4 linked regions of the Cricetulus griseus genome follow. The protein of the gene in region 2 interacts with the protein of the main gene of each other region in a biochemical or structural test. Links are inferred from orthologs where the notes say so. Each region holds a gene or a part of one and is shown on either strand. Other genes may lie near its edges. The genes, in order: Kctd15, Tfap2a, Eps15 and Cited2.

Region 1 (6,838 bases), on a different chromosome or scaffold from region 2:
GGCTCCCTGAGCTGGGGACCCAGAGATTGACGGTGACAGATGGGTCCCTTGGTAGAAGGGCCCATTCCTGAGATAAGCTGTGGTGGCCCCATGCTGACTGGATGGGTGGAGACTTCTCCAAGAACCCAGATGTGGACACAGTCAGTTGGGATTGGAAGCTCCTGGACATTGGCAGGTCAGGTGTGCACCAAGTACAGCCTGGGACACAGGCCGTAGCAGAGTGTCAGATAAAAGTCACAGAGTCACTTTCGCCTCCATAGCCCTCCTCCCTGCCGCCCTGCCCCTTGGGGGCCATGCTCCATTTCTGGCAGCACCATTGCCGCTGCCAGCCACGTCTGTCCCCACAGCCCCAGCTCAGCATGAACCTGGGCCTGAATGCTGGCAGGCCATCCTTTGCAAGGTTTGCTCAACATTAGACTGAGAACTGAGCACCAGGTAAAAGCAGCGACGGTCCTTGTTGGCCTTGCCGACCTGTGCGGCCACAGTTAGTTGTGTTTTAAATACTTTAGAAAAATAAGCCATCTCCAACACGAGGAGGCCCGCCGGTGTCCGCCAAGCGTGCACAGGAGGAGGATAAGCAGCCGCTCGGAGTGACTGGCCCGGCAGAGGACGCTGTTCCAGGCTGAGGAGCATCAGGGCTGGAAGCTGGCACATAGCTGCAGCCTGGCATCTCTGGGTCACGTGACAGTCCTTCCACCGGCATGCCTCTGGCATCCCTCAACCTGTTGCCATGACACTTCATACTCCCAGGGATGAGCTCAGACCCTCCCTTCCCACCCTCAGTCTTGAGCCCACTGTGGAGCGCAAACAGGCAGGACTCCTCAGCACTCTTTCCATGTCCATGGGGCTGCCCCAGGACTGAGGGGGTCTCAGGTGGGCCCTGAGGCAGGGCCTAGTCCAGGGGTTCTTGCTTTATCCGGACGGCAGTCGGGGTGGGTTGCGGTCGCCGCTCCTCCCGGCAAAGCACGTACTCGCTGAACTGGGAGGAGTCCACGCCACCCCCGCAGGAGGCAGCCACGCTGAACCCCCTCTGAAACAGCCTTTCTAGGACCTGCAGGGGAAGAAAAAGGGGTCAGCAGTGCCCAGCTGCTAGAGTTTGCCTGGCCTGGTAGGCAGCTGGGTGCCAGGCAAAGCAAGCTACCTTCTGATGGGTTTTAGACCCAGCTGCATCACCAGCTGGATCCTACCCTAGGCGGGAAAGGTGCAGTCAAGCCTCAACTTATCCAAGCAGGGTGGGCCTCTGCTATCCCACCCAGGCTGCTCCCTCCAACCCTCACGGGTGCATAGCCAGGAACTAGGGAAGCAAGAGGGGCTTTTGGGGTCCCTTCCCTGTTATCTAGGGTGTGCCCTACCCCAGCCCCCCCCCACATGGCCCCAGGCACCCCCTCTCTGAATCTCCTGCTCCAATAATGGAAAGCCCCTGCCCCCTAGCCTCAGGGCAGCCACCTGCTTCCTGGAGCTGAGTCCCAGATGGTCTGAGGCCTGAGGGCTCATCAGCTCAAAGAGTTCTAGGTGAAGGGAAAGAGGGGAGTCCTTTTGGTGTGTGAGTGAGTCTTGGAGGCCTACAAAGGCCTCCTGGGTTGTGTCTCTGGGAAGGTGGGGGCTGGCCCTACATCTGTGTCCTGCAAAGAGTAATCTCTTACTCTGAGCCTGCAGGAAGTGGGGGGGCTTTCCCCAAAGGGTCCCTTTTGTCCTAACCCCAAAATATGAGTGTCTCTGAGTCAGGAAAAAGCTTCCAGAAACAGGGAGCCGAGGCAGGAGGAGGCGAAGTTTGCATCCGGCCTGGGTTACACAGAAGATCCTGTCTCAGAAGGAAAGAAGTGCTCTAGGCAGCTGCTGCCTGCCAGTGGCCCCAGGGCCAGCCTCATGGGAAGGCTCCCTGCCTTTCCTGGTGCCTGGGTTTAATTTGAATCCAAAGTCAGCCTCTGCATGTTAAATGAAGCATGTTCCGTTGAAAATACTCTGGGCCTTTTTTTTTTTTTTTTTTTTTTATAGAACATCCTTTTAGGGGAAAAAGAAAAGTACAGATCAATTTTTTTAAGTCCATCCCCCAGGCACCATCATTTAATTATGAGCAAGGCATAAATTATGCATCCGGACATTGTTGCCTTTCCTGTATGGGTTTCGTCCACTCCATTCCGGGACTGACTCCCTCACCTCTCTCTGCATCCATGGCCCTCACCTGCACAGAGTTGAGTCGACAGTAGCCATTGAGGGGGAAACGGATGACGTGTGTGGGGTCCTGGTTCCAGCCAGCGTTGACGGAGTTGCACATGACATCACCCGTCTCAGGGAAGACCTCCTCAATGAGGGCTTTCTCGCCACTGAGTGCAATGCGTTCACCCAGGTCGGGGGTGACTCGGACCACCAGGCAGTCACAGGCCCGGCTACGCCGTCGCTGCTCCTGTTCCTGCTGCCAGCGCTCCAGCTCGCGAACCATGGGCTGCAGCTGGTAGTACCTCGCCTCCTCATACAGTAGGTTGAAGTCCTGTGGACAAACACATAGCGTCAGGGAAGCACCAGGCAGTCCCATCTGGGTTGCTCATCCTTTCCCTCTTCACAGACAGCTTAACTCCCAGATACAATGAGGACTAGGACGGTCATTTCCATCGTAGAGGTGAGCAAAGAAAGATTTCCAGTGCGTGTGCCCCCAACATACAGAATCTAAAGCAGGCTGAGTGCATCAGATGAGACTCTTCCTGGACCTTCAACCGGACGGCAAACAGAAGTGTCATAGAAAGCGCTGGAAGCTGCTAGTGGCGCACGCCTTTAGTCCCAGCACTGGGGAGGCAGAGGCAGGGGGATCTCTGTGAGTTAAGGCCAGCCTGGTCTACAGAGCGAATTCCAGGACAGCCAGGGCCATACAAAAAAACCCTGTCTAGGAAGAAGGAAGGAAGGAAGGAAGGAAGGAAGGAAGGAAAGAAGGAAGGAAGGAAGAGAAAGACCAAGCTAGAAGCTGAAACTATAGGGAGATAGGAGCTGGGTACATGCTGCCCTCCTTCACACTGTGCCCTTGCCCAGATCCCAAGCAGACCTTTAGGGAATGCATTTCACCCATCAGCCACAAGGGCTACAAACCCTCCTGAGCTGGCTTGCCCTCTTTACAATGAATATAAACACTGGACCCTGAGTGAAGATTAAAGGACAGGAGACCTGCCAAGCCTCTGTCCCTGCCAAAGCAGGTAGAGAATATGACAAGGTCCCTGGGAATGACGGTCCTGGGGCAAGGTCCTCACCAAACAGCCCATCCACAAAAACTGTCCCCTCAGACCCTGACACTAGCCGTGTGTGTGTGTGCTCACCAATTCTTGAGGGGCCTATGTCCATGACTCACGCCACTCAGTGCATAGGTGGTGACTGACGTCCCAGGGGAAAAGCAAGGGAGATCAACTCTCACAGCCCAGCCTGCACACCCAGCGTGTTTCTGTTGTTGGCCCCAGAGGCCCAGAATCCCATCATCAAGGCCCACCACGAGCTGTGACCCTGCCTGCTCTTCATAAAAGGTCTTTTCTCCCAGCTCTCACCAGCCCTGAGAGTTTTATATGACATCTTTATGCCAACTCTTTCCCCAAGCCTAGAATGTTCCAGGCACAGACTTTGACTCACTGACTCAGGGCTGAAGCTGCGAGCTGGACGCACCCTCCAGAGCCTCCTGACCCAATAACCCACACTCAAAGCCTTTGTACCTCTCTCCCCCAATGCCACTCTCTCCCTACTCCCAGCAAACCCAGAAACACAGTGACATAGCTAGCCTGTCCCCACTCCTTCTCCCTGCATCTCACAGCAGAGCCAGCGTGGTCCTCCCAGTTTGCAAACCTGATCACTCTGCCCCACTATCCTGCTATATGCTGAGCCACCCAGCAAGATGCAGGTCTCACCAGCAGCCTCCCCGTCTCCCCTCCCTTCCCGGATCCCAAAGCCCCAGATCTCCTCTCCATGTCATTAGGGTATCCACAATTGTCTGCTCCATTCTTCCTTCACCATCTAGCTCAACACTTTCCATCACACCCACCACCCAGGCCAGGTTTCCCCATCTTTTGATTAGGACTCTATTTTGTCTGTTTCTGCTTCTTTGTTTTGAGACACGTAGCCCTGGCTGGCCTGGAACTCCCTCTATAGACCAGGCTGGCCCCACCAAACTCACAAAGACTAGCCATAGCCAACATTTACCTCCCAAGTGTTGGGATTAAAGGTGTACGGCATCATTGTTGCTGACTTTTTCTAGACAGTGGCTTACTCTGTAGGCCAGATTAGCCAGAACACTCAGCAATCCCCCTGCCTTAATCTTGGAAGGCCTGGGACAAAGTGTGTATCTGGTGGGATCCATCACACCAGGCATGCACAATTTTCTGAAGCATTGGGCCCCATGCAATTGAGACTAAACCTCTATTTTCTAGGCTGGAAGAGGCAGAGCCCATGGCTTCCAGTGTAAGCTCTATTTTCAGACCGAATTCAGCTGTTGCCATTTAGTAACTGGGCTGGATGAAAAAGGGCCCCGGGGCTGCTGGTGCAGTAGTCGCTGCAGGAAGCCTCAAAGCAAGGAAGCACACAGACAGACAGACAGACAGACAGACACATTTGCCAGCAAGAGCCAGGCCTGAGTTATCTTCCCCTCATGATTTCCAGCACCTGAGAGGGGCTCAGCTCTGAGGCAGGGCCATAGAGAACCAGATCAGCTACCCAAGACAAGCTTATCCAGAGTCCTGGGAGTGATATTTGTTTAAACCCCCTAGCTCCCAGGGGTTTCCCCCCAGCTACAAACTGCAACAACGGACAGACACACAGACCTCTAACTCCTTAAACACAACTAACATCAACCTGGGGTAAGAGCCAAAGCTTAATTGTTGTTACACCCCGATAAATACTCTCAAGATGTGAGAAAGCAAAATGAGTTTGGAAAAACTGATTTAGCCCTCGGCTTCATTGGTTAGCTTTTGGTGGTCGCCATGACAACTGTGGGTCCGTTTGTTAAGTCGCAGCGTCCCCTGTGTAATGCCACGAGACACAGGCAGGGCAGGGGGTGCCGCTGGCTCGACTCACCTTGAAGTCATCTGGAAGCAGCAGTTTTGACGTCCGCAGGAAACTGAGTATATAGCGGAAAATCTCTCCGTCCCGGTCGATAAAATAATGTTGCTTCAGACTGTCTAGGACAATGGGCTCCGTGCCGTTGAAGAGGCGGCTTATTCTGGGAGAGACGGGCAAGATGGAATATTGGCAGGGTAGGGTTGAGGTCACCTGCCCCACCCCCACTCCTTGGAACTCACTCAGCTAGAGGGGCAAGAGGTCACCCTTAGGGACCTCTAAGGTAACTTGGAGACCTTGCCAATCCTGACAATTGTCAGCAAACACATGTGAGGCAGACAGGCTGCCTTCACATACACAGGACGCTAGGGCAGCCACGTCATCGCTCCAACCACCTTCAAGAGCTATAGCCAGCCAAGGGACATACCCAACTATGTCTGATGGCCCACTGACACATGGTCTGGAAAACCACATAAGCCAGCTGGTCCAAGCTGAACACACACCCACACACACCTACAGCAGAAAGACATGCCCAGAAAACATGTGTCGGCCACCCAGAGCTCTGGCTCCCAGTCAGCCACCTGCTAAATGTATGTCAACCAGCTAAGTCTCCAGAGACACACACCTTCTCACCCAAGCCACAACACCAACATCAAATAACAGCGCATTGCGTGCAGCCAATAGGTCCGGGATCACAGTCTCAGGCAGTGACACTCACCAGCTAACACAAGCAATCGACTCAGAGACATGACCCCATAACTGCCTCACTTAAGGAGCCACGGGGGAGAGACAGGCAAGGGAGAGCCTGCATTTGCATGCAAATCCCAGAGCACAGTGATCATGTGGTCCAAGACCTGGACAGGTACTCATGTATACCACACATGTGTGCATATCGGGTGAGAGAGGCTGGGACTGGGAACGACTCTAGTGCCTAGAAAGACAATGCTACAGACACAGGAGACCTTGGGGGAGCCCCGATGCCTCTCACTGTCCATTTCATGGCAGAGAAACCTGGCCTTGGGGCCTAGGCTACTGCCCCCTGCCCCCAAGCACACAATGGCGGGGTCTGGCTTGGCTAACTGCTCTGCAGATCTCAAACGCTAAGCTAGATAATCAGGAGCCCCAAAGTGGGTTGGGGGCAGCTAAGATCTTCACTTGGGAGCAGAAGGGAGGTGAGCAGTTCTTCAGTGGCTGGTTGACTTCGAGCCTGGGAGAACTGTTCCTAAGAAAGCCTTGGAGGCCGAGAGGTAGTGGCAAGTGCCTTTAATCCCAGCACCTGGGAGGCAGACACAGGCAGATCTCTGTGAGTTCCAGGCCAGCCTGGTCTACAAAGCCAGTTCCAGGACAGCCAGAGCAGTTACACAGAGAAACCCTGTCTTGAAAAACCAAAACAAACAAACAAAACGAAATGAAACAAAACAAGCCTCGGAGAACCAGGGAATTAGGGGGTAAGGGGACTTGTTGACTTGGCCTACACCAACCACCCTGCCCCCTCCAAGAATCCTCTCTCCTTGTCCTGTTCCTACAGCTACACACTCATTGCTCAGCCCAACTCAGCCACGCCCAGTCACAGCCACGTGCACCCAGAGCATGCCAGTTGCCAGAGCTGAGAAGTTCAGAGCCCCCAATGCCCTTCTTAGGTATTCCCAATCCACACAGTCCCATGTTCCGGTGGCCATGTAATCACTTGTTCTCATTCTGGGGACAGACGTGGCCCAGCCTGTCCCTAGGGGGTCAGTATAAAGGACAAGGTTGCCTGGCGGGTGGGAGTGAGCAGGTCAGAACCTGTGGGTTAGAGGCGTGGAGGCCTGAGCCT
Region 2 (7,280 bases):
ATTTTCTTTTCAATCTGGAGAAGTCTATTCAGCCCAGGCACCTATGGGAATATAAACTTGGGCCACCTTGAAACCCATTTGACAGCTTGCTTGTAGGCTAAAACTTAGAGTATGACTGTGACTCTGTTTGTGTGTCTCTGTCTCTTTCTCTATATGTGTGTGTGTGTGTGTGTGTGTGTGTGTGTGTGTGTGTGTGTGAGAGAGAGAGAGAGAGAGAGAGAGAGAGACTTTTGAGGCTAGAAGAGAATGAAATGGAATCCAGGATTAGAGGTAAAAGTAGGGCAGTTTCTGGATGGCACATTTTGCAGGTCCCAGCTTAATCTTTGCCCTTGGAGAACATACTGATGAGAGAAAATGTGGACCTAGGCAAGCCTGATTGGTACCTTTGAGGACTTGGACTCTGGTTTCTATGAAACAACACTGTCACAAATCCACACCCTTTCAGTGCAATCCCTGCTGCCCCCCCACACCCCCACTAATTTCAAAGTTAGTGAATAAGAAAGAGACTGAAGAGAGGGAGAACACAGGAAGCACACTGACACTCCCACGCTGTTTCCTCTTTGATACAGTCTGTGCTAATTTATGTTTGTGCCCTGACTTCAGTATTCACAGCAAAGCTGATCAATAGGAATGAAAAAGAGAAGAGAGCACAAGATAGTTTTGTTTTGTTTTTGACAGTGAACAGCCTAGACCCCGCAGAGGTAAATGCCTTACTTTGTAGCCAGGAGCATGTTTTTTCTTGTCACTTGCTCATTGGGATCGGAATGTTGTCGGTTGAGAAATTCCGCTACTGCTTTGGCAGGAAATTCAGTTTCGCACACGTACCCAAAGTCCCTGGCTAGGTGGACGGCTTCTCCTGGCAAGAGGTAGGAGGAGGGAAGTGAGGGCCAGAGAAAGAAGAAATTGGGAATCAAAGTCTCCTCCCTACACCCAACTCCCTTAGTTTTCTTCACTAAAAGTTGGAAGGAACAGAAACCCCTTGTTTTCTTACTTTAGAGATTCCTTCTCTGTGAGACCTGGAGACCTTACTCATCAGTAAAAGTGCCAAGTTGGCTTACAAGGCCAAAATGCTTTGAAAATGTTAATCCCACCCATCGCCCCATACCCATCCCTGAGGGATGTTTCCCCAACTTCTGTTTGAAAATGGCTCTGCCGTCTCAACCTCACACCTATCAACACACTCGTCAATGATGTTCCATAATTACTCCTTGAGCTTTTCAGCAAGGGAACAACTGAGAGTTTACATTTTAACTTGATCACATATAATTATCTGTTCATCCAAGCCGATTAACCAAGAGGATTTGAGGGTCACTCCACTGAGTCTGTCTGTGTTGTTGATTTTCGAATCTTTGGTTTTAATTTCCTGAACCAGTTGGTTTTTACTGCAGGGCTTCCTGCCATTAGCTCCAGCTCCGGAAGAACGCATGCGCCAATTAGAGCATCAAAGGCCTCTCGGCAGAGCTTGTTTCCATAAAATGGAGCGGATCACAAACAATAACAGTTCTCCAGAAACTGCCTCCCCACTGCAGTCTCAACCCCCAGACCCAGACCAATGCTCACGCGCCATCCTCGGCTGCCACCACCATTTTCATGACATATAATTTGGGAGGTAGGATATGAAAAGTGGTTTTCTACATACTACCATTATTTTAATATAATGTGGCTGTATTTGAATTTCTGGCCTTGAACAATGGCTGGGGTTTTCTTGCTTTTTTTTTTTTTTTTAAGTTTCATCATCTTCATCTTCAACACCGTTTAACACATGAAAGTCATAGAATTCCTCCTCAAAAACATTTGTTTCAGATGCTTTCTAGAAACTTCCAAAAAACTTGGATCCAATGGCACTATCTCCTCCAACACACTATGCAAATAAGATAAAATTGCCTCATTGAAATATAAATGCTAGTTTTAAATCTGCCTAGGAATAAATTACTATTTTTTAAATTTTCCTTTTAACAAGAGATATAACAAGCCACAAAGAAAAGCACAAGAGAACTATGCATTCACCCAACCCTTAATCCCAACCTTAAACCAACTGACTATCAGAAAAAGTTAGGAATCTAGGAGGCAGGAACATGAACGGATTCTGGTGACAGTTTTTGTTTAACTGGACAGGGATGGCTTTTTGTCTTGAGGAATTTGGCAGGGTGTGTGTGCTCAAAAATCTGCCATAAGAAACTCTTTTACAATGTGTCTGCTTCTTTTTCTCTTTCTGTATCTGACAATCCAAATTCTAAAATTGCTCACTTTCTTTCAATCGTGGAGAGAACGAAACACAATGAAGCAGGAGATGAGGAAGTACATGTTTAGAAAACAACTACTACAAGGGCTTTAACCCTGAGCTTTCAGGACAGTCTTAAATCAGGATGCAGGTCAAAGATTCCCAAATTAATTCAGGAAGTAATGGTCACGCATTTCTCAAACGCAGATGTCAGAATAACTTAAGTGATTTACTGCTGAGTTCTTTAGAGGAGACAGGAACTTGGAGAATGTGTGGCTCTTAAATTTGTGCATTGTTTAGGTCAGATTTGTGCTGAGGACAAGGTAATTTTATGGTAGACAGGAAGAACATATAGGCATGAGTGTATATAGTCTCTGGAGTTTTGTTTGGCTTTGTTACTTGGTTTTCCTTGACATCCCAGAATTCTGTTCACTTCCAGTTATAGCTATATTCCATGGAAAGGTGAAACCACCAAAGTACACAAAACACACTCAAACATCTGGCCACTAAATATTATCCATTTCCCCAGACAACTGTTCCCTTCTACTTAGCAAGTGGATTTGCTTACCTTCCACTAATGATGTAAGCAGGGTGACGTTGGCAGCTTTGCGTCTCCCTGCTGGCAGATTTAATCCTATTTTGTCCAGTTTTTCTCTTAAAGATCGTCCTCCATTCTTAGACTTCGCTCTGTTTCATAAAGATATAGAAAATATTGACTTGCTCTGTGTCACATTAAAGTAATTTTGAACACTTTCTAAAATGTGTTCTTGAAAACTGAGAAGCCTAAGGAACTGTACAGAAAGGTTGTAGGAGATAAAGGCTAGTTCAGCTGTAAAGCACACACTGTGTTCAGTTATTGTTGCGACTATTGTGGCAGGTTGGGAGCTTTTCTGTTTCTAGTTCTCTGAAGAAGAGCTGCAAACACATAGTTCTGAACTCTGGAGCTGGAGGTATTCTTGAGGTCAGCTGATTACTGTGTATTTTCCCTGTTGCTACAATAACACAAACCCCAGTGGGGTCTTTAAATTGTCTTCACAAGATCTGCTGTTAGGTCGTTCCCAGTAACCAAAGTTATCATCACGCTCACATTTCATGCTCTCGCTTTGGTCCCAATGGGAAACGCATCTCGACAACTGTTTACATGCCACGTCAGGAGCATAACTGGAAATGTCAAAAGGATGATGGCTGATATCAGCCTTCAAAAATTTCCCTGATTTCAGAGACAATGGAGGCGCTTCTAAATAGATGTCTAAATAGACTCCCATAATCAGAAAGTGGTTAAGATAAATTGTTTAAATAAAACAGCAAATTAATTAATTTCAGATTTTATTCCCTACTCAAGTGGCTCTTTAATTGCGTGGATTAGATTATACTCCCTTAGGTAAGCAGTCTCCGATACTGGTGATGGGGGAAGGGGAGGAAAAAGCAGAGGGCAGAGAAAGATCTCTGGCAGTAAAAGAACTAAGGAAAAACCAAGTGACTGAACGATGATGACAGTCGCTGGTATTAATTCTGCAAAACCCTCTTAGAGGATGTAGGTGAGCTGTACCCACCAAGGCCCAACTCCGGGTCATTAAGATTCAGGAATAAAGTTAGACATGGAGAGGAGAGTAAGAGACATACTATTTGACCAAATGTAACACTAGGCCTACAACTCACACCATCGGGTAGATTCCTAAGATGGAGGGCATACCGCTGGGTCCCAGGAAAGACATTCCCTGGCCCTTGTGAATCTCACTCCACCTCAGAGAGGCGAGAAACCCGTGTTAACGGATGTGGTCCCTGAGAGCGGCTACATATAATGAACGGAAACTGGAAACGTGCCCTGTCACACATCACAGTAAATCAGAACCGTCGAAAGCTAGCGCAGAGGCTGGGGGTAGGGGGAGCATTCTGGCGGGAGGTGCCAGCAACCAGGGTTGGGGAGGCATGCGGCATGCAAAAGTCTCGCTTTACTTGAAAACCAGTCTCCACTCAAGGGCGACAGGTTCCCATCAGAGACCCCACGCTTCGGTAAGGCAAAGCGAGGAGCCCACAAGTTTTCCTGAGCTTGCAACCTGTGTGCAACCAGGGAAAAGGCAGCTGCACGGCGCCCCATGGCTGCCAAGGCCGGGACTGAGCCCGCAGCAGTGAGCGCTGCGCCTGCGTGCAGAAGAAAGCCGAGGCCCCGCAATGCGCAGGCGCGCCGCCTCACCCCACCCTCCACCCCGCCTCCGGCCCCTCCCACCGGGCGCCACTCGCTCCCCTCCCCGCCCTTTTCCCTGGCAGCCGGCGGCGTGCGGCGCCGCTACTGCCCCGGCGCAGGCGCACTGAGGCCGCGTCCGCGGGCGGGGCGGGGCGGGGTGGAATGGGCGGGGCGGAATGGGCGGGGCCGGGCCTCACCTCCGCAGCACTCCGCCCAACAGCGACGCGTTGAGACACTCCGGCGGTGAGAGGCGCCGCTGTACTTCCGCCACCGTGACCTTGTACTTCGAGGTGGAGCTGAGGAGCGACAGGCGACCCGGAACTGAACAGAAGACTTCGTTGGGGTTCACCACGCCACCGAAGAGGTTGTCCTTGTTGATAGGGATGGCGGAGACGGCGTTGCTGTTGGACTTGGACAGGGACACAGGGCCTGCGGAGACAGAGGAGGGCGCGTGTTGGGGGGCGGGCCCACCGCGCTGGCATCCCGCAGCGGCTTCCTGCCATCACCCTTGCTGCAAGCTGTCTAGAGATGGCTGATGCTGTCGCTACCCCCCGCCCCGGGCTCGCGCAGGGCGCCGGCGAGGTGCAGGAGATCGCGTTTGGGGAGACAGCGGGTGGGTTTCATGTGCAAACCCCGGGCAGGGTTGGTGTAGCCAGGGTTTAGCGGACGAAGGACTCACAGCGGAAAGAAATGGCTGTTAAAGCCGGTGGATACTCTGGGTGGCTGCAGCAGCCAGTAAATGAACATTTCCATTTAGCCAGCAAGTGGTGCATTCTGTTGTCACACACTGTACTAACCTCCTTTCATCGATAGACCCTGATGTTTCATTTTGAAAGACGCTCGGGTTTTGGAAATCATCCCAAGCCCATTTTTTGAACAGGACTCAAGAAAGGGCCTACAGCTGAACACTAGGAATGAGTCCTTTTGTTGAGCAAATACTAATTGAACCCGGTCTGCCTAAGGCCCTTCAAAAGAGTCCGGGGCGGGGGGGAGGTAGAATATACAATCAGTTAAAACCATAAGCCGTCATTGTTGGACCAACCATTGTTAGAAAACAAATTCAAGACCAGGCAAACGAGGGGTCCATTTCTTAACACCAATTTAATTCTGATGCGTCCGCAACCACTTAAGTACAATGCATTTATATCTTAAAATCCCACATAGAGACATGTAATAATAATATGTACACAGTCTCATCACAGCATGTTTTTTTTTTTTTTAATGGGGATATTCTAGTCGTATGGGGAGATGAGGGGCTCTAGGTTTTGGATAGATCACTTGTGACATTAATAGCTCTGGGGAGGCTAATAGAGACAATAGGAGTTAAACGAACTCTTGAGAGATTACTAATAAAAGAGCCAATTATCATGTCGACTTGGAAAGAGCACCTCTTAAGATTTATCCCTTGCACATCTAATTTGACATGACAAAGACTTCACAGATGCAAAAATGAAACTTTAAACTAGCTTACACTATACTGATTGGGGTTAGAAATGAGAACAGTTTTATATAGCATGGTCCTCTGGTGGAATCTAGAACCCTGAGATTTTTGCCATCATAACAACAACAACAACAAAATACTGCTATTGCATTTAATACATGAAACTTTATTCCTACCCACTAAGCACAATGCAGATGATAAATTCATTCAAATCCTGTAATACCTTTTTAACAATTTCTTTTCTAAATACTTAGGTCAATAGTGGCATCTTCAAGATGCTAATTTTAACCAAAAGCTAAATTTTTGTTAACCTAATTCACCAAGTTTTAAAGCCTTGAGACTCAATCAAGAAACTAGAAACTAAATCAGAGAACATGAAGTTTTCTTCCCTAATAGAGGGCTTTAAAAAAAAAATCTGTCTTTTCATTGATATTAAATTATTTGTATTATTTTAGCTTGATACACTTTTTAACCCTCATGGCCTTTAACTCCACACAATGAATTAGCTATGAAACCACTTCCAAATCAGGTCAATATTGCACATTTCATTTTGTCCAAATATGAATAACTGAACTCAGTGCTGAAATCATGATCTGAACAAAGCTAGCCTGTTGCCATTACCAAGATCCTGAAAGCCGGTTGTTTAAGCACTGTTCTTCTATGCCTATCTATTTGCTAATTCTGAGCCTTTAGGAAATCCTATTTGAAAAAAATAAATACAGTCCTGCAAGTTCTTTTAAATAGCACTCTGCCTGTAAGGACATGCTTGGAATGCAGAAGGAAATGGCTTACCTTTCTTAATTACAGTTTGATCTGGGATGTTAATACCCGGGTCTTCTACATGCTGCAACAAAAGGATACACATGAATGTAAGTGTATAATCAAAACAAAAGGAAATGAATATTCCCTGCAAGGTGGGGGAGGGGAAGGTGGAGGATGGCAGTCCCCCCTCCCTCATAATGACATTTATATATAAACATCTCATCTTAGCTTACTGAATTTGGAGCTTTAAAACTCAAGAGGTTTCACTGTACACCCACAACCCATTTTTCCTCCCCCCTCCCAGGAGATAATCCACATTGAACAGGATGGGATGGGGAATAAAACTTTCTTTGAAAATTAAATGAAGTTTGGGAGTTCCTAATCTTTTCCCCAGTCAATTCAACCTTTAGAAATGCATGTGGCTTTGGTGTGGCACTTCTCAGCAGCTTGGGAACCTCAGGGATCCCAGAGTCCAGGCAGCCAAAGCCAAAGAAACACAATAGAAATGACATGACAGGATGGGGGTAACAGCGGTGTGGGAAACCCTGAAGGTAATGTAACAAAGCACACTCATGTGTATGTGTACACACACACACACACACACACACACACACACACACACACACCTTCACTCAAGGAAAACCAGAAATAATTTGTAAGAAATCTGCTGC
Region 3 (7,280 bases), on a different chromosome or scaffold from region 2:
CACTCAGGAAGCAGAGTGAATCTTTTTGAGTTTGAGGTTAGTCTGGTTTACATAGTGAGTTCTAGAACAGACTGCACAGTAAGACCCTGTCTCTCAAAAAAAAAAAAAGTTATTAAAATAATCTTATCCAATTATGGGGTGTGGGGGGGGTGGATATTGACATGCCACAGTGTTCTTGTGGAATCCAGAAGAAAACTAGCAGAAATTGGTCCTGGAGATTGAATTCAGGTCGTTGGGCTTAGCAACAAATGCCTTTACCCACTGAGCCACCTCACCAGCCTGAGACATTTTTTTTTTCCCTCGAGGGTTTCTCTGTGTAGCTTTTGAGCCTATCCTGGCATTCGCTCTAGAGACCAGGCTGGCCTCGAATTCACAGAGATCCGCCTGCCTCTGCCTCCCAAGTGCTGGGATTAAAGGCATGCGCCACCAACGCCCGGCCTGAGACAAAAGATTTTTAATCCTTCATACTCACGTATGTATTTTTGGTAGGTGAGAAGTAGTCCTGAAATAGCAGCTTCTGATGTGACTGATGAAAACGAAGTTGTGACTGCAGCTGGTAATGAAAAAGTTAGTCCCAGATTTGATGATGACAAGCATTCAAAAGAGGTGAAGATAATTATGCATTCAGTTGTTCTTGTCACTTGTCTTAAATGTTCTTTGTAGCTGCAAGAATATTTACTGATTTTTTTCAAAGTTTGTATATGATCTGAACATGGGTCATTGAAGTATTATCTTTTAAATGTTTGGTTACTAAAATATCTGTTTTCATTAAAAATTATTTCTAGGAAGATCCATTTAATGTAGAATCAAGTTCACTGACAGATCCAGTTGCAGATGCGAACTTGGATTTTTTCCAGTCCGATCCTTTTGTTGGCAGTAAGTATCTTTCTTTTGTAAGTGTATAACACTTTCTGATATATAAACTATATAAACATGGAGGCTTCAGTTTTGAAAACATTTTTTACAACATAAGAAAAGCTGAAAATATGGGTTTCTATTCTTTTTATTTGCTAATATTTAACCTCTGCATTATACTGTACAATTCTCTGACTAAGAGAATGTTTCTTCCTCAGAGTAGACTCCACAGGAAAGATATATTATAGTCCAGTGGTAGAGATTACACACTCATGACTCACGTTATTTAGCTAATAATTACTGAAATGCCAACAGCAGGTCAATCATGGGATCACACTGCTGTAATCCCAGTACTTTGCAAATTTGAGTTTAACCTGAGCTACAGAACAAAACTGCCTCAGGAAACTTAAAAAAAGAAAGGAAGGGAAGGGAAGGGAAGGGAAAGGAGAGAGAGAGAGCGCACCAACACTGTAATTTTGATTCATTAGAAGCTCACGGTGCAGTGACACAAACCTTTAGTCCTAGTACTCAAGAGTCAGACATAGATGGGTCTCTTGAGTTCAGCCAGTCTAGTCTACATAGATAGCCAGGGCTACACAGTGAGACTATTATCTTAAAAACAAAACTAAACTAAAATGACAGTAAAAGCCGGGCGGTGGTGTTGGCTCACGCCTTTAATCCCAGCACTCATAGAGATCTGCCTGCCTTTACCTCCCAAGTGCTAGGATTAAAGGTGTGTGGCACCACTGACTGACTGCATTTTAATTTTTGTTTACTTCTTTTGTCACAGGTGATCCTTTCAAGGATGATCCTTTTGGAAAAATTGGTCAGTATATTTTGTAGTTTCTTCTTAACTTTAATTCTATTCTTCTTAATTATAACTTTATATTGTATTTAGAAATGAGAACACACAACTTGGGTAGTTCTAGGAGAGGAACTGCTTTTTAGTTTTAAAACTGCTCTAAAGCCAAGGTAAGATACTAAAATATTCTGGCATTTTTAGAGAGTGATTAGAGCCTTGTGAATTTGCTCAAGAAAGTGTGTGTGTGTGTGTGTGTGTGTGTGTGTGTGTGTGTGTGTGTGTGTGTGTGTATTGAACCTGGGGCTTTGTGCGTGCTAGGCAAGTACTCTGCTATATCTCCAACCCAAGCCTTGCTTTTTAAAAAAGTAATAATCAAAATGTTGCCTAAAAGTAACATTGTTGGTAGGGTTGGCAAGGTGCTCAGTGGTTTGGACTGTGTACTGTTCTTGCAGAGGGCCAGAGCTTGGTTACCAACACCATGTGGGTGGCTCACAACAGCCTGTAACTAGCTTAGAGGAGCCAGTACCTGTGATCTCTGCAAGCACTGCACTTGTACACATACACATAATTAAAACTTTATTCTAAAAGGAATAGGTTCTGATTTCTCCACATTAGCTAAAAGCTAGATCAGTATGAGTTGTACACTACTACAAGACTGCAGGGCTAGAATATAATTTTATTTTACTACTCTACGATTTTAGACTATTCATGTAAATAGAGGGAATTGAAGGATACTAAATTTGAGATAATTGTTTTTCTGAGATTTTTCACTAGAACAAAGAAAATCTTGTTTCCTATTTAGTTTTGCTTCCCAAATGTGTCTCAAGGTATTAGCCTTGAGCTCAGGAAAGAAATGTATTTAAATTTCTGTTTCTTTTGTAAGCATTGGACAAGAGGACTTAAAATTGGATCCCTTAAAATTACATGCTAACCAAAAAGTTTAGTACCTGAAAAGCTCTGTTTCCTCAAAAGTACAATAGAATCTGGAATAAAAAAGGAACTTGGGGTTCCACAGAAGTTCAAGTGACTTTTTAGTTTTTGAAAATCAAGCAGAGTCTAATCAAAGAGGACAGTTTTAAGTCTCAACAGTTACTTAGAGGAAGGGAATGGAGAAGAGAGGGAAAAGCAGTGTTGTCATTAAGCTGGCATGGAGGTCAACCATGTGGTAGACAAGCAGCTACACTGTGGGGGCAGGAGCTTTACAAAGAGTAAAAGAGCTCCAAGTCCCAGGAGATGCATTCTTAGACTCCGGCCAGCACCCAAAAGGGACAAAAAAGAAGTGAAAAGAAGCCGGGCGTTGGTGGCGCACGCCTTTAATCCCAGCACTCGGGAGGCAGAGGCAGGTGGATCTCTGTGAGTTCGAGACAGCCTGGTCTACAAGAGCTAGTTCCAGGACAGCCTCCAAAGCCACAGAGAAACCCTGTCTTGAAAAAACAAAAAACAAAAAAAAAGAAGAAGGAAGAAGGAAGAAGAAGAAGAAGAAGAAGAAGAAGGAAGAGGAGGAGGAGGAGGAGGAAGAGGAGGAGGAGGAGGAGAAAAGAAATGGCTTTGGCTTTTTGAGCAAGAATGGTGGATAGACCCAGCCCTACGTCATAGTGGCTCATAGGGAATGCTTAAAGTGTTTTAATTGAAATGTCATGATATGCTTACAGACAATAAGGAATTACAGTGGGTTTTCAGCTTTTTACATTTGTTCTTTTTCTCCTTAGATCCTTTTGGTGGTGATCCTTTCAAAGGTTCAGATCCATTTGCATCTGACTGCTTCTTTAAGCAGTCTTCTACTGACCCTTTTACCACTTCAAGCACTGACCCTTTCAGTGCATCCAGCAATAGCAGCAATACATCGGTAAGTACACAACTAAAAATTGTTCAGACGGATAAACAAGTGTCCTAAGGAAATTTCTTGAGTATATAGCTATAGAATCTGCCTTTTGATTGTTTTTAATGGTCCATATGAAATTTGTCTGGCTCCCACCTATCCAAGTTTTTGTCTAATGTAATGTTTCATACTTGAACACCCACTGGACACGAGGATGATTTACAGTGTCCCAAAATGAAGTCCATCCTTATCCCGTTGGTGATATTAAGTGTAAGTGACTGGAAATTCAAAAGCCTGTCTTAAGTAAAACTTTTTATAAATATCTGTTATAGTATTGAAAGAATAGAAATTACTTAATGGGAAAGCATTAATATTTTAGAAAAATAAAATAATCCATGATATTTTATAGTTATACCTAGAACGTTAATCTTGGAAAAGTATAAATTCCCATTGAATGTCAAGCTTTCTTGAGTACATGTCCACAACCTCTGTTTAGTAGCCACAGACTATGATCTAAGCCTCTGTGCTATATAGTCATTGTCTCTAATCTTCAATTTCACTTTACAAGGCAAATGTTGATACCTCTGCTTTAAAAATACAGACAGTTTTGGTTTTGAGCCTAACCTTTAATGGCTGAGCCAACTCTCCAGGCATTTATGGCTGGGTGGTGGTAGCGGCTCATATCTTTAATCCCAACACTGGGGAGGCAGAGGCAGGCAAATCTCAGAGTTTGAGGCCAGCCTGATCTACAAAGAGAAAGCCAGAGCTACACAGAGAAACCCTGTCTCAAAAAATCATGTTTCTTTAATATGTCCCAGGTATTTGTGTTTGAAAACTTAAAAAAAAAATTATATAGGGGCGGAGGAAATGCTCAGCCTGTAACAGACTTCAGTTCAGCTCCCCACATCCTCCAACAGCTCACAGTTGTCTGTAACTCCCTCTCTGGACTCCCGCAAGCACCAGGCCAGCATGCACACACGCACAAACACACACTCAGTAGATGCACATACATGCAGCACATAAAATAAAAGTAAATTTTTAAAAATTCCCATTGAATTTGAGTAATTAGAAATACTCAAAATAGAGTAACAGAATGAAATATTTTAATTGTTTTTTTATTTTGAGACTTTCTGAGGCAGCAATCTCATTGCTGTAAGTAAACTGGACCTAGAAAAGCATAATTAATTGGCAGGCATTTCACACTATTTTGTTGTGTATAACTCTTGGGTTAAGATTACCTCCTTAAAAGAATAATTGCTTCCTTAAAAGAATTGTGAGCCAGATATGGTGGTACAGGCCTGTAATTCCAAAACTTAGGAGGTGGGGTAAGAGGTTTGGGAGTTCAAGGTCAACTTCAGCTGTTAGTTTGAGGCCATCCTGGGCAATGTGAGATAAGAAATATGAAAAGAGAAATAATGTAATATAAGGGAGGATAACAGAGGTTAGATTAATAGTACTATTTTTTCTGAGACAGAGTTTCTCTGTGTAGCTGTGGCTGTCCTGAACTCTCTGTAGAACAGGCTGGCCTTGAACTCACAGAGATACCCCTGCCTCTGCCTCCTGAATGCTGGGATTAAATTCGTGCACCACCACTGACTGGCCTATAGTACGTATTTTACTTGAAAATAAGACTCTCTCCCCAAAAGTCTTTTCCAATTCTTCAAGACTGCCTCCTGCTCTCTGATGGAATTAATTTAAATGAAACAAAACTTAGTAGTGTTATGCAAGTACTAAGTCAGTCAGGTAAGGAGTGAATGGCTGATGTACCAGAGAATTTGAATAATAATTAGGTGATTTGTAGAAGGGTTTCAAAACATTAACTCCTATAAAATTCTACCATATGAAGCTGAGTTATGAAACTTACTTTTGGGGGCCAGTTAGAGCAACTTACTCTCTTCTTAAGGACATGGGTTCAATTCCTAGCACTCACACTGGGAATACCTGTATAAGTAAATAAATAAAATTATTTTGCATGCTAAATTTCCTAATTATCAAATTGAACATAGCCCAAGGAGAGTTTTATGATCACTGTTTTTTTTGGGGGGGGGCGCGGTGAGGGGGTTGTTGTTTTTGGTGGTATATGTTTGTTTGTTTTTTATAAGTCAGTGTCTCCTATAGCCCAGATTGACCTTGGACTTACTGTATAGTTGAAGCTGGCTTTAAACTCTAGATCTTCTGGCCTGTATCTCCCTGGTGCTGGGATAAACGAGCATGTGCCACTATGCCAGTCAGGCATATATGACCATTACTCTGTTTTGTTTGAGACAGGTTTCTCTATGTACCAGCCTTGACTGGCCTGGAACTTAGTTTGTAGACCAGGCTAACCTTGAATATACAGAGATCTGTTTACCTCTGCCTCCTGAGTGCTGGGATTAAAGGCATGGACTGCCGTGCCCAGCATAGCCATTGTTCTTTTCTCGGCTGTACACTCTGTCTCATTCGTGTTTGAGTGGTTGCACTGTTTGATGAAGAAATAGAACAAAAACTACATCCATAAAGGCATTACTGCTTCCTCCCCTCCTTGGTTGTTTATGTGTATGTGTGTTCCTCTGAAGGGCAGAGTTCTAGGTTTTTGTTTTGTTTTTGTTGTTGTTATTGTTTTATGATACAGTGTCTCTATCTAGTCCTGGCTGTCCTGTAGCTCACTATGTAGAGCAGGGTGGCCTCGGATTCACAGAAGTCCTTCTGCCTCTGCCTCCTATGTGCTGGGATTAAAGGCCTGTGACACCATGCCCTGCTAGAATTATTATTAAACAGTAGTTACAAATTGTAATATTTGGAGTAAAAGGGGACAGTAGTGAAAGAATTGTAGAAGTCTAAATAAAGCCTATAACTGTAACTTGGGTTTTTTACTGGTGTCAAAAATCCTTAGTTTTAGTAGATAGGCCATGATTTCATGAAATATTAATATTTGAGGCAGCTAGAATTGCATGTGGGAACTTTGTACTGTCTATACAACTCTTTAAGTAATTTCACACTAAAGTTAATGTATGTGCTTATAAAGCAAAAGAAATGAGTACCATCAAAGCCAGGATACTAGTCACCTCTGCAGGGCTTCGGAATACATACAGCTCAGTGACAGAGCACTTAGCATGTGTGAGCTCTAGGGTCAGTCCCAGTACTACCAAAAGGTGACCTCTACAGAAGAGGGCTTGGGATTATGGCTTGTGAGAGGCACGTGAAGCCTACTGAGTGTTGGGACCTTCCTGTGAGATGACTGCTTGAGTGTCCACATGAAACTTAACTTGTTAAATTATACACATGCCTCATACTTTAAATATTTTGCAATCCAAGAGTATTTTCATCCATTGTGACTACATATAAGGAAAGGGAAAACTCTGTTCCAGATGTTTGTATTTTCTAATCCATAATTTTGTAAAGTATTTTTCTTAGGTTTAACAGTGAAGTTCCAGCTATGAAATGTTGCCTCTCGGTCATAAATTTGTACCATTTCTTTAGATAGAAATTTGGAAGCACAATGACCCATTTGCTCCTGGTGGAACAGTTGTTGTTGCAGCTAGTGATTCAGGTAAAGACTTTGTCAGTTTTATTCATGTTAATCATTGCGTTTTCTTTAAGATTTTCTTCTCTAAATGTGTTTGCCCTATTAATTATGACTTTTAAATGGATGTGTAATTATTTCCATTTATAGCACAATACTAACAGCAACAAGTATTTGTGTATCACTTTTTACTCTTCTTATTCATTTTCTTGTTTGTCATTCACACTAAAGGTTTTTCTAGACTATGTACTGTGTTCAGTGTCAATAAAACCAATAAGAAGCTTTTGCTTTAGCCGGGCGTT
Region 4 (7,922 bases), on a different chromosome or scaffold from region 2:
GTCGGGGAAGGCAGCTAACAGTTTATTTACTGTGTAGCATATCGGATGGGAACAAACACTAAGAAGAAAAGTAAAGTGCGATGAGGAAAGGGAACAAAAAGGGACATTGTCCTTTGGGTAGGATACTGAGCAAGACCCCTGGGGTGGAATTTGAGCAGAGACACAGAAACGAGGACAAGGGCCATCTGAGTGTCTGGGAAGATAACTCGAGGGAGTTTCTTTCCCGATCCGCAGGGATCTTTCAATCTCTTCATTCTTCACCGGGGCAAGGTTGGATGAAGCCTTTCTGAAAAGCAGGGGTTCACTCAGAATGTGATCTGATTCGAACACAGGATGAGGTCCTTTAGGATAGGCCTAATCCAGTACAACTGATGTCCTTATGGGGGCTGGAGGGCGGAGAAACACATATGCAGGAAAATGCTATGCAAAGATGAGGGCAGAAACCACGAAGTGTTGCCAGACACAAGACAGACAGGACCAATCCTGCCAACTCTTGATTGTGGACTTCTGGCTCCCTAGTATGTGTCAGACAATCACGTTTTGTTGCTTAAGTGTGGTGTTCTGTTATGTCAGTCCTAGAAAACTAATACAACCAACTAATGCTGACAATCAGAAACGGGCCACGCCTCCCCAGGCTTCCAAGAGAAACCCCAGGGAACTTCCTGTGTTCCCAATAATTTCCCCCTACCTGGACGCCCTGTAGTCAGTCTTCATTTCTCAAACCATCCTCCACCATACTACCTCATAAACTGATAAGCTGGCTCCCACGCCTCCATGTCTTTCGGACCCAATCAGAATTCTCAGCCTGGAATCACTGGCCCTTAGGATCCAACTGCAACGCGTTCTCTCCAGTTTGTTTCTCTCATCTTTGCAGTAACTCATTGTCCCTGTGGTCAAACTTTTAGTCATCCCGAAGCCTTAACTAGTTTACCATGTCCACCAGGAAGCCTCCCAATGTCTCTGAGACAGGATATGGTATCCCTCTTGTGTGCTCTGGGGTGACAGTGCTGCGGGGGAGCTGGAGGGTCGGAGGTGGGGAGGGGGTGGGGCGTGTATCCAATGCCTGATTATCAGAGGTCTCTTTGTAACCGTGAGTTCCTGTCTTGTTTATATCTTAGGGTACTAAGAAGTGCCTGGCACCTGAAGAACATGCATTGGGAGACTAAATGAGCAATGCATCTTGCATCCCATCCAGCTGGACCCAGAAGTATTTATTTTTCCTTTTAGTGGTGGGGGATGGGCAAGTGACCTTTCTGGGGATTGCCTAACAGTCTGTAGAAACGCTGGCGCTGGATGGTGGGGTACCTTCCCTTAATGGCTGCAAGAGGAATTTAGATTAGACATTCAAAAGCTGTTCCTTATGTCGCAAGACACTGCACAATAAGGAAGGGAAGTAAACAATCTATTCAAAAAATAATCTTGGTTTGGCAGTTTTTTTTTAAATTTTTTTGATAGGAAGTGTCCCTTCTGATCTCCAAACCTCTTGATTGTTCAACTTCATGTTCGTGACCTATAGGAGAAATTAGGAGGTGAACAAAATAGGGGAATTGTTATAACTGAAAGCCATATCTCTTGCTCACTTCTCCAAAAAGTAAACATTCTTGAGGTTTCACAATCATTTGCATACAGGGTTATAAATGCTGGACAGCCTGGAAAAAGGGTAGAGAGGAAGACAGAGGGTTTTGTTGTTTTGGGGTATTTGAATAGGACTAACTAGAGGAAGACAGAGAAGTAAAGCAAAAAAAAAAAAAAAAAGATTTACTGAATGAGGCAGGCAATGTATCAGAATTTCCAGTTCTCAAGAAATACAGCCTTAAAAAAAAAAAAGTCTGGAGCTAGAAGGGAGAAAAAGAAACGGGAAGGGGGAGGGGTGCTGGCTCTTTACAGCAGGAAGTCTTCCATGGACATCAAGTTATGAAGAAACAACTGTACACAGAAGTCCTTATTCGGAGCGCTAAACTCGATCTCACCACTTAATGAGAAATACACGCTCCATGCAGCTTCATCCCGGTATTGGGGAAACAACTAACCAAGCAACAGAGCTCCGACTGGATAGTGGACCCGACCAATGTTAGGGGTTTTATTTGCAAGTCAATGAGCCAAATGGGCGATCGGGCTCGTTGTGCTTCGTTCTGCAGGCAAGGTTATTATTATCACCGCCTATTGCTCCACTGAACAATTTCACTGAAAAGGAAGAGTCTTAGCAGTGTATGCGCGCACCGTGCCATACAGGACGTGCCGCTACGTGCCCACCTCCAAAACGACTTTATTTACAAAGCGATTACCAAGCTATCTATCTGTTTTCCTTTTGCTGCAGCAGCAGCCTTACTCAGCCCTCGAATTTCTTAATTACAAACCCATTTGCTTCTAAATCAACCCCAAACCGTCAGGCAGAGCCCGGAGGGAGGCTGTGCAAGTTTGCACACACCCCCACCTCCTGGATCAAGGGCAACAGCAGAAGCAAGTAACAGTGTATGTGCAAAAAGGTGGATCTGGGGACTAGGATCGCTGAGTTTGTTTACAGAGCAGGGACGCCTCAGCTCGGATGCCAAAGCTACCAAGAGCTGCAAACGCAAACTTAGCAGAAGCACACGTACTCCGGGAACGTGGAGCAGACCAGAAAGAGTGGAGCGGATCCCCGAACGCGGGAGCTGAGCCGACCCGGCCTGTGAGCGCGCTCGGTCGGTCCACCTGCAGCCGCTGCCGCTCCCCACCCCCAGCCCCTGTCCTTGAAAAGAGTGGAGGCGGGGAAACGCAGGCACACGCAGAAAATATCTCGGTTAGGTTTACATGATGCCCGTGTAAAAACACAAAGGCGCGGCTCAGGAAACCGCGCTCAGAGGACAGGGCAGGGTCGGTCTGGGGCTTTAAAACCCCAACTCGGGAAAGCAAAATCATTATTCGCAGGCTGAGAGGCTTCTGCACTCAAGAAAACTGCAGGGCTGGGAGCCGAGCGAACCCCCATTTTCCTGTAGAGCGCAGGGCAGATCACTAGGTGAACCGGGTGAGCGAGCTGGGGGGTGGGGAGATCTGGCCAGAGGAAGGCGGAGAGTGCTCCTTGTTTCTCTCCTGTAAGTGCTTCCTTGCACTGGGTGGCTTGGAGGATTACCTCCTTGCCTCGGAGGTGGCAGGCACAACCTCGCATTTGGGGGTCAGAAAGACGCCCACAGTCCCGGGAACTTCAGGGCGGCGCCGGGGCGCGCAGCCTCTGCGCACGTGCGGCGCGGACTCGCGGACGCGGCTCGGGGACCCGATCCAGGGCGCTCAAGTTCCGGAATCCGCATCTTCTTGCTTGCCGACGGGAGGCTCTCGCTCCGCCCTTCCAGAGATCCTTATATTAACTGTGGCCAAAGCCCTAAGAAACACAGCTCATTGTTGGCAGCTGCCGGGCGGTCCTGCGGAGCGGTGAGGGCAGCGGAGGGAAAAGAAAAGGGAACGGCTCGCAATCTGCCCCAGCGGCTGCTGCAAGACCTCGGCGCCAACCTCGCACAAGCGAGCGCACCACAGCCCCTCGGCTGCCGCTCTATGTGTTGCTGAGCCGGTCCTGGACCCGACGAGCCCGCCTTCGGTGTTCGGAGCAGAAATCGCAAAGACGGAAGGTGAGCGCGGCGGGCGAAGCTGGCCAGGGTTGCTGCCAGCCTCGTCCTCCGAGGGCAGGGCTGGCCCGGGGGACGAGCGTGAGGCGGAGCTGGGGAATAACAACAGGATGTGCAACCACAGGGTGAGGAGGGCTGATTGAATGCCTGAAGTTCGTGGCCGAGCTCCGGGGCACTTCCTTTATTAGGCCACTTCGGGGAACCTAAGGGGGTGTGGGCTCCGGTCGCCCCCCCCCTCCCGGATCGCTGGGGAAGGGGCCGATCGCTCAGCGCCAGGCTGTGCGGGTCCGGCGGGCGGCAGGTCCGCTGAGGTGGCGAGCTCGGGTGCACGGACTGCCGGTGGGTTCCCTCTCGGGGGTGGTGGTCTGCCGCTTGACGTGCGCGCGGATACTGGGGCGACAGAAGTGGGGTGCGCTCCGGTGGGCGACACGTGTGGCGCGGGTCTCAGCGTCTACTCGTTTCGCTTTCAGGACTGGAAATGGCAGACCATATGATGGCCATGAACCACGGGCGCTTCCCCGACGGCACCAACGGGCTGCACCACCACCCTGCCCACCGCATGGGCATGGGGCAGTTCCCGAGCCCGCATCACCACCAGCAGCAGCAGCCTCAGCACGCCTTCAACGCCCTCATGGGCGAGCACATACACTACGGCGCGGGCAACATGAATGCCACGAGCGGCATCAGGCACGCCATGGGGCCGGGGACTGTGAACGGGGGACACCCCCCAAGCGCTCTGGCCCCCGCTGCCAGGTTTAACAACTCCCAGTTCATGGGCCCCCCGGTGGCCAGCCAGGGAGGCTCCCTGCCGGCCAGCATGCAGCTGCAGAAGCTCAACAACCAGTATTTCAACCATCACCCCTACCCCCACAACCACTACATGCCGGATTTGCACCCCGCTGCAGGCCACCAGATGAACGGGACAAACCAGCACTTCCGAGATTGCAACCCCAAGCACAGCGGCGGCAGCAGCACCCCTGGCGGCGCGGGCGGCAGCGGCACCCCCGGCGGCTCTGGCAGCACCTCGGGCGGCGCTGGCGGCAGTGGCGCGGGCGGCAGCGGCGGTGGCAACACCATGCCGGCCTCGGTGGCTCACGTCCCCGCGGCAATGCTGCCGCCCAATGTCATAGACACTGATTTCATCGATGAGGAAGTGCTTATGTCCTTAGTGATAGAAATGGGTTTGGACCGCATCAAGGAGCTGCCCGAACTCTGGCTGGGCCAAAACGAGTTTGATTTTATGACGGACTTCGTGTGCAAACAGCAGCCCAGCAGAGTCAGCTGTTGACTCGGTTAACCTCGGCGGGCGGGCGAAAGAAATCACCCTCCCCACCCCCACCCCAACTTCTTCGGTGTGAATTAAAAAAACAAAAACAAAACAAAAAAAAAAAAACATTCCCTTAGACGCAGTATCTCACTTTTCAGATCCTGAAAGGTTTGAGAACCTGGAAACAAAGTAAACTATAAACTTGTACAAATTGGTTTAAAAAAAAAAAAAGATTGCTGCCACTTTTTTCCTGTTCTTGTTTTTGTAGCCTTGACATTCACCTCCCTTATGTAGTTAAAATATCTAGCTAACTTGGTCTTTTTTTGTTGTTTTTACTCCTAATTTCCTCACTTTCTCCAGTGCTCAACTGTTAGATATTAATCTTGGCAAACTGCTTAATCTTGTGGATTTTGTAGATGGTTTCAAATGACTGCGCTGCATTCAGATTTATGATTGAAAGGAAAAATTGCATTTGTTGGCTGCATGAACTCTGAAGGGCAGATATTACTGCACAAACTGCCATCTCGCTTCATTTTTTTTAACTATGCATTTGAGTACAGACTAAGTTTTCAAATATGCTAAACTGGAAGATTAAACAGATGAGGGCCAAACCGTTCTGGATCAGGAAGTCATACTGTTCACTTTAAAGTTGGCTGTCTCCCCTCCCCCATATGTACAGACAATAATAGGGTGTGGAATGTCGTCAGTGGCAAACATTTCACAGATTTTTATTTTGTTTCTGTCTTCAACATTTTTGACACTGTGCTAATAGTTATATTCAGTACATGAAAAGATACTACTGTGTTGAAAGCTTTTTAGGAAATTTTGACAGTATTTTTGTACAAAACATTTTTTTGAAAAAATACTTGTTAATTTATTCTATTTTAATTTGCCAATGTCAATAAAAAGTTAAGAAATAACTTGTTTTCTGTTAGTCAGTCATTGGGGGCAGGGTGGGTTCCTTTAAGTTGGACTGTTAATTGATTGAGAGCTTTCCAAAGGGTAAGTTACAGGACACTAAAACAGGTCACGGTGAGCTTAAGGGAGAGCAGGATTTAAGATAATTGGCATAATGCTGCATTGTTACCTTTGTAGCTTGCCTCTTGGTGTGGTTTAATCAAAGGCAGAAAAGTTGTCAATGTGCTTTGTTGTTGTTTTTTAACTGCATCCAGTTACAGTGAACCTTTGCTGGGAAGGCTTGCAATATTAAACCTATCTTTCTCACTGGGTGGGAGAGAGGGGGGGTCAAGTGTTTCTGATTCAATGGCTTAAAAGGAGTGGACTAGAGTGATATACCGAGTGATTGATGGGTGGTATTAAATATAAATCTACCTTTATTTCTAATGATGAATTTTATTTCTGAGCAAAGGTGCTAAGGAGAGACACATTTTCCAAGATAATCTCAAATAGCTTCTGACTGGGTTACAGTTCTGAGTGGAAGGAGGCTGGAAGCCACCTTGAGGCTTCCTCTAATATTTAAATTTCACCCAGTGGTTGATTCAAAGGCCAATTACAACCTCCATAACGTGCCTTCGCAAGCATGCCCCACTTTCCAGAATTCTGAGCTGCTGCTGTCCCATGCATTAGGTGCCAGGCACCTTGCTTTAAAACCATTTCTGACAACCAGGATGCAGACCATCTCCATATCCGATGGGTGTCGAGGACCGCCTTACATAATCAATCGGAGGAGAAACAGCCTTCAAGTGTCAAAACATCCCAGGTGGAAGGGGAAGGATTTAGATGTTGTCCCCTGTCATGTTTTCATGCTTTTAAGAATAGCATAACCACAGCCAAGAAAAAAATAACAGACTCATACTTAACCTATGGAGAACAAGGAGATGCAGAGTGAAGAAACCCTACAAATAAGCCATGCTTCGATTCCTTTCCGTGTTTGGCTCTCACCTTAAACCCCATGCTTCATAGGATTTGCCCAAGTGCTGTCCTGGAATCTGGCACACAGGCTGGCTGTGTAGGACTCAGACTGCCTCCACTCTGTAACTTTCATTTCCAAGCAGGACAGGTAAAATTAAGATGCACACTGCACTGGGTTTGTTAGGCCTCTATAATTGACATCGCCCTACTAAAATTCATGTTCTATGAAATCATCCAGAGCGCTTTGACCCCAATTTTCAAACAATCCCCTTTCTCCAATAGTTGAGGCTGAAGTTTTTCTTCAGCTAACACGTGCCAATACTGCATCTTCAATCAGGCAGTAAATCTTCCTAGCTTGGCATTTTCACAGTAAGACCACCCCACCCCCACTCCCCGAAGACTCAAGTGGAAAACAATTGTTTACATACATATTAATACAGCAATTCTGGTTCTTTTTCACGTGTGTGTGTGTGTGTGTGTGTGTGTTGTTTGTGTATGTGTGCGTGTTGTGTATGTGTGTCTGTGTGTGTGTAAAGCAAAGAACTGTCATGCCATCACCCTTCGCCGTTTATTCTGCCAGGGAAGAAGCCATAACACCTGCTCTGTCACTAGATTTCCCCCCCGCCCCCCCCTCGCCCCGCCCCGCCCGCTGCTCCAACGCCGGACACGTATGTAGAGACGCAGAGCTCAAGTAACTATTATTAGAACTTGGACCCATCCCTGCCAGAACAGAGGACTCAAACAGAGGAGCTGGCTAAAAGCACAATTTGTCCTCAGTACAAATACAAATGCTCTCCCCGCCATCTCTATTTCATTAAAACTCTCTTGATCAACAATTGAGCAGATCCTACGTGATATCTGCAGGTCGCTTTAGGCAGAGAAAAATAAGCCCTTGTTTAAACAACCCGATTAATGAAACCTGTACAGTGACCTAGATCACCGGGCTCCTGGCAGACATTTGCAAAAACCTTCTGTGGTCTTGCTTCCTACTATGTTGCTTAGAGCATATGGGGAAATTTGACCTCTGTACCTTGGCTGTTTGTCAAAAAGTTCTAATGCGGTACAAGAGGGCCTCTGTTCTTTAGGCTTTGCACACAAATAGACACTCCATGCTTGGTTTTCAAGACGAGATGAGTGATAAGCACAGCCCCATTGATACATAGCAGAAAAATATGTCTGCATGTATA

Evidence for each region.
Region 1: the proteins of Tfap2a (region 2) and Kctd15 form a complex in vitro, tested with the Homo sapiens proteins (2 studies listed by BioGRID, with this or other methods). The link is inferred for Cricetulus griseus from reciprocal best matches to the Homo sapiens genes TFAP2A and KCTD15.
Region 3: the proteins of Tfap2a (region 2) and Eps15 form a complex in vitro, tested with the Homo sapiens proteins (2 studies listed by BioGRID). The link is inferred for Cricetulus griseus from reciprocal best matches to the Homo sapiens genes TFAP2A and EPS15.
Region 4: the proteins of Tfap2a (region 2) and Cited2 form a complex in vitro, tested with the Homo sapiens proteins (2 studies listed by BioGRID, with this or other methods). The link is inferred for Cricetulus griseus from reciprocal best matches to the Homo sapiens genes TFAP2A and CITED2.

What each region holds. Positions count from the first base shown.
Region 1 is NC_048602.1:3,870,514-3,877,351, reverse strand, and holds part of Kctd15 (BTB/POZ domain-containing protein KCTD15), read right to left. Parts: intron 5,186-6,838; coding exon 5,041-5,185; intron 2,489-5,040; coding exon 2,183-2,488; intron 1,052-2,182; coding exon 893-1,051; 3' UTR 1-892. UniProt on the Homo sapiens protein: During embryonic development, it is involved in neural crest formation. Inhibits AP2 transcriptional activity by interaction with its activation domain.
Region 2 is NC_048596.1:260,400,920-260,408,199, forward strand, and holds part of Tfap2a (transcription factor AP-2-alpha), read right to left. Parts: intron 6,692-7,280; coding exon 6,640-6,691; intron 4,836-6,639; coding exon 4,604-4,835; intron 2,909-4,603; coding exon 2,790-2,908; intron 857-2,789; coding exon 715-856; intron 1-714.
Region 3 is NC_048595.1:40,455,396-40,462,675, reverse strand, and holds part of Eps15 (epidermal growth factor receptor substrate 15), read left to right. Parts: intron 1-489; coding exon 490-606; intron 607-785; coding exon 786-876; intron 877-1,645; coding exon 1,646-1,681; intron 1,682-3,366; coding exon 3,367-3,503; intron 3,504-6,935; coding exon 6,936-7,005; intron 7,006-7,280. UniProt on the Homo sapiens protein: Involved in cell growth regulation. May be involved in the regulation of mitogenic signals and control of cell proliferation. Involved in the internalization of ligand-inducible receptors of the receptor tyrosine kinase (RTK) type, in particular EGFR.
Region 4 is NC_048595.1:271,951,686-271,959,607, reverse strand, and holds Cited2 (cbp/p300-interacting transactivator 2), read left to right. Parts: upstream 1-3,466; 5' UTR 3,467-3,599; intron 3,600-4,066; 5' UTR 4,067-4,074; coding exon 4,075-4,884; 3' UTR 4,885-5,783; downstream 5,784-7,922. UniProt on the Homo sapiens protein: Transcriptional coactivator of the p300/CBP-mediated transcription complex. Acts as a bridge, linking TFAP2 transcription factors and the p300/CBP transcriptional coactivator complex in order to stimulate TFAP2-mediated transcriptional activation.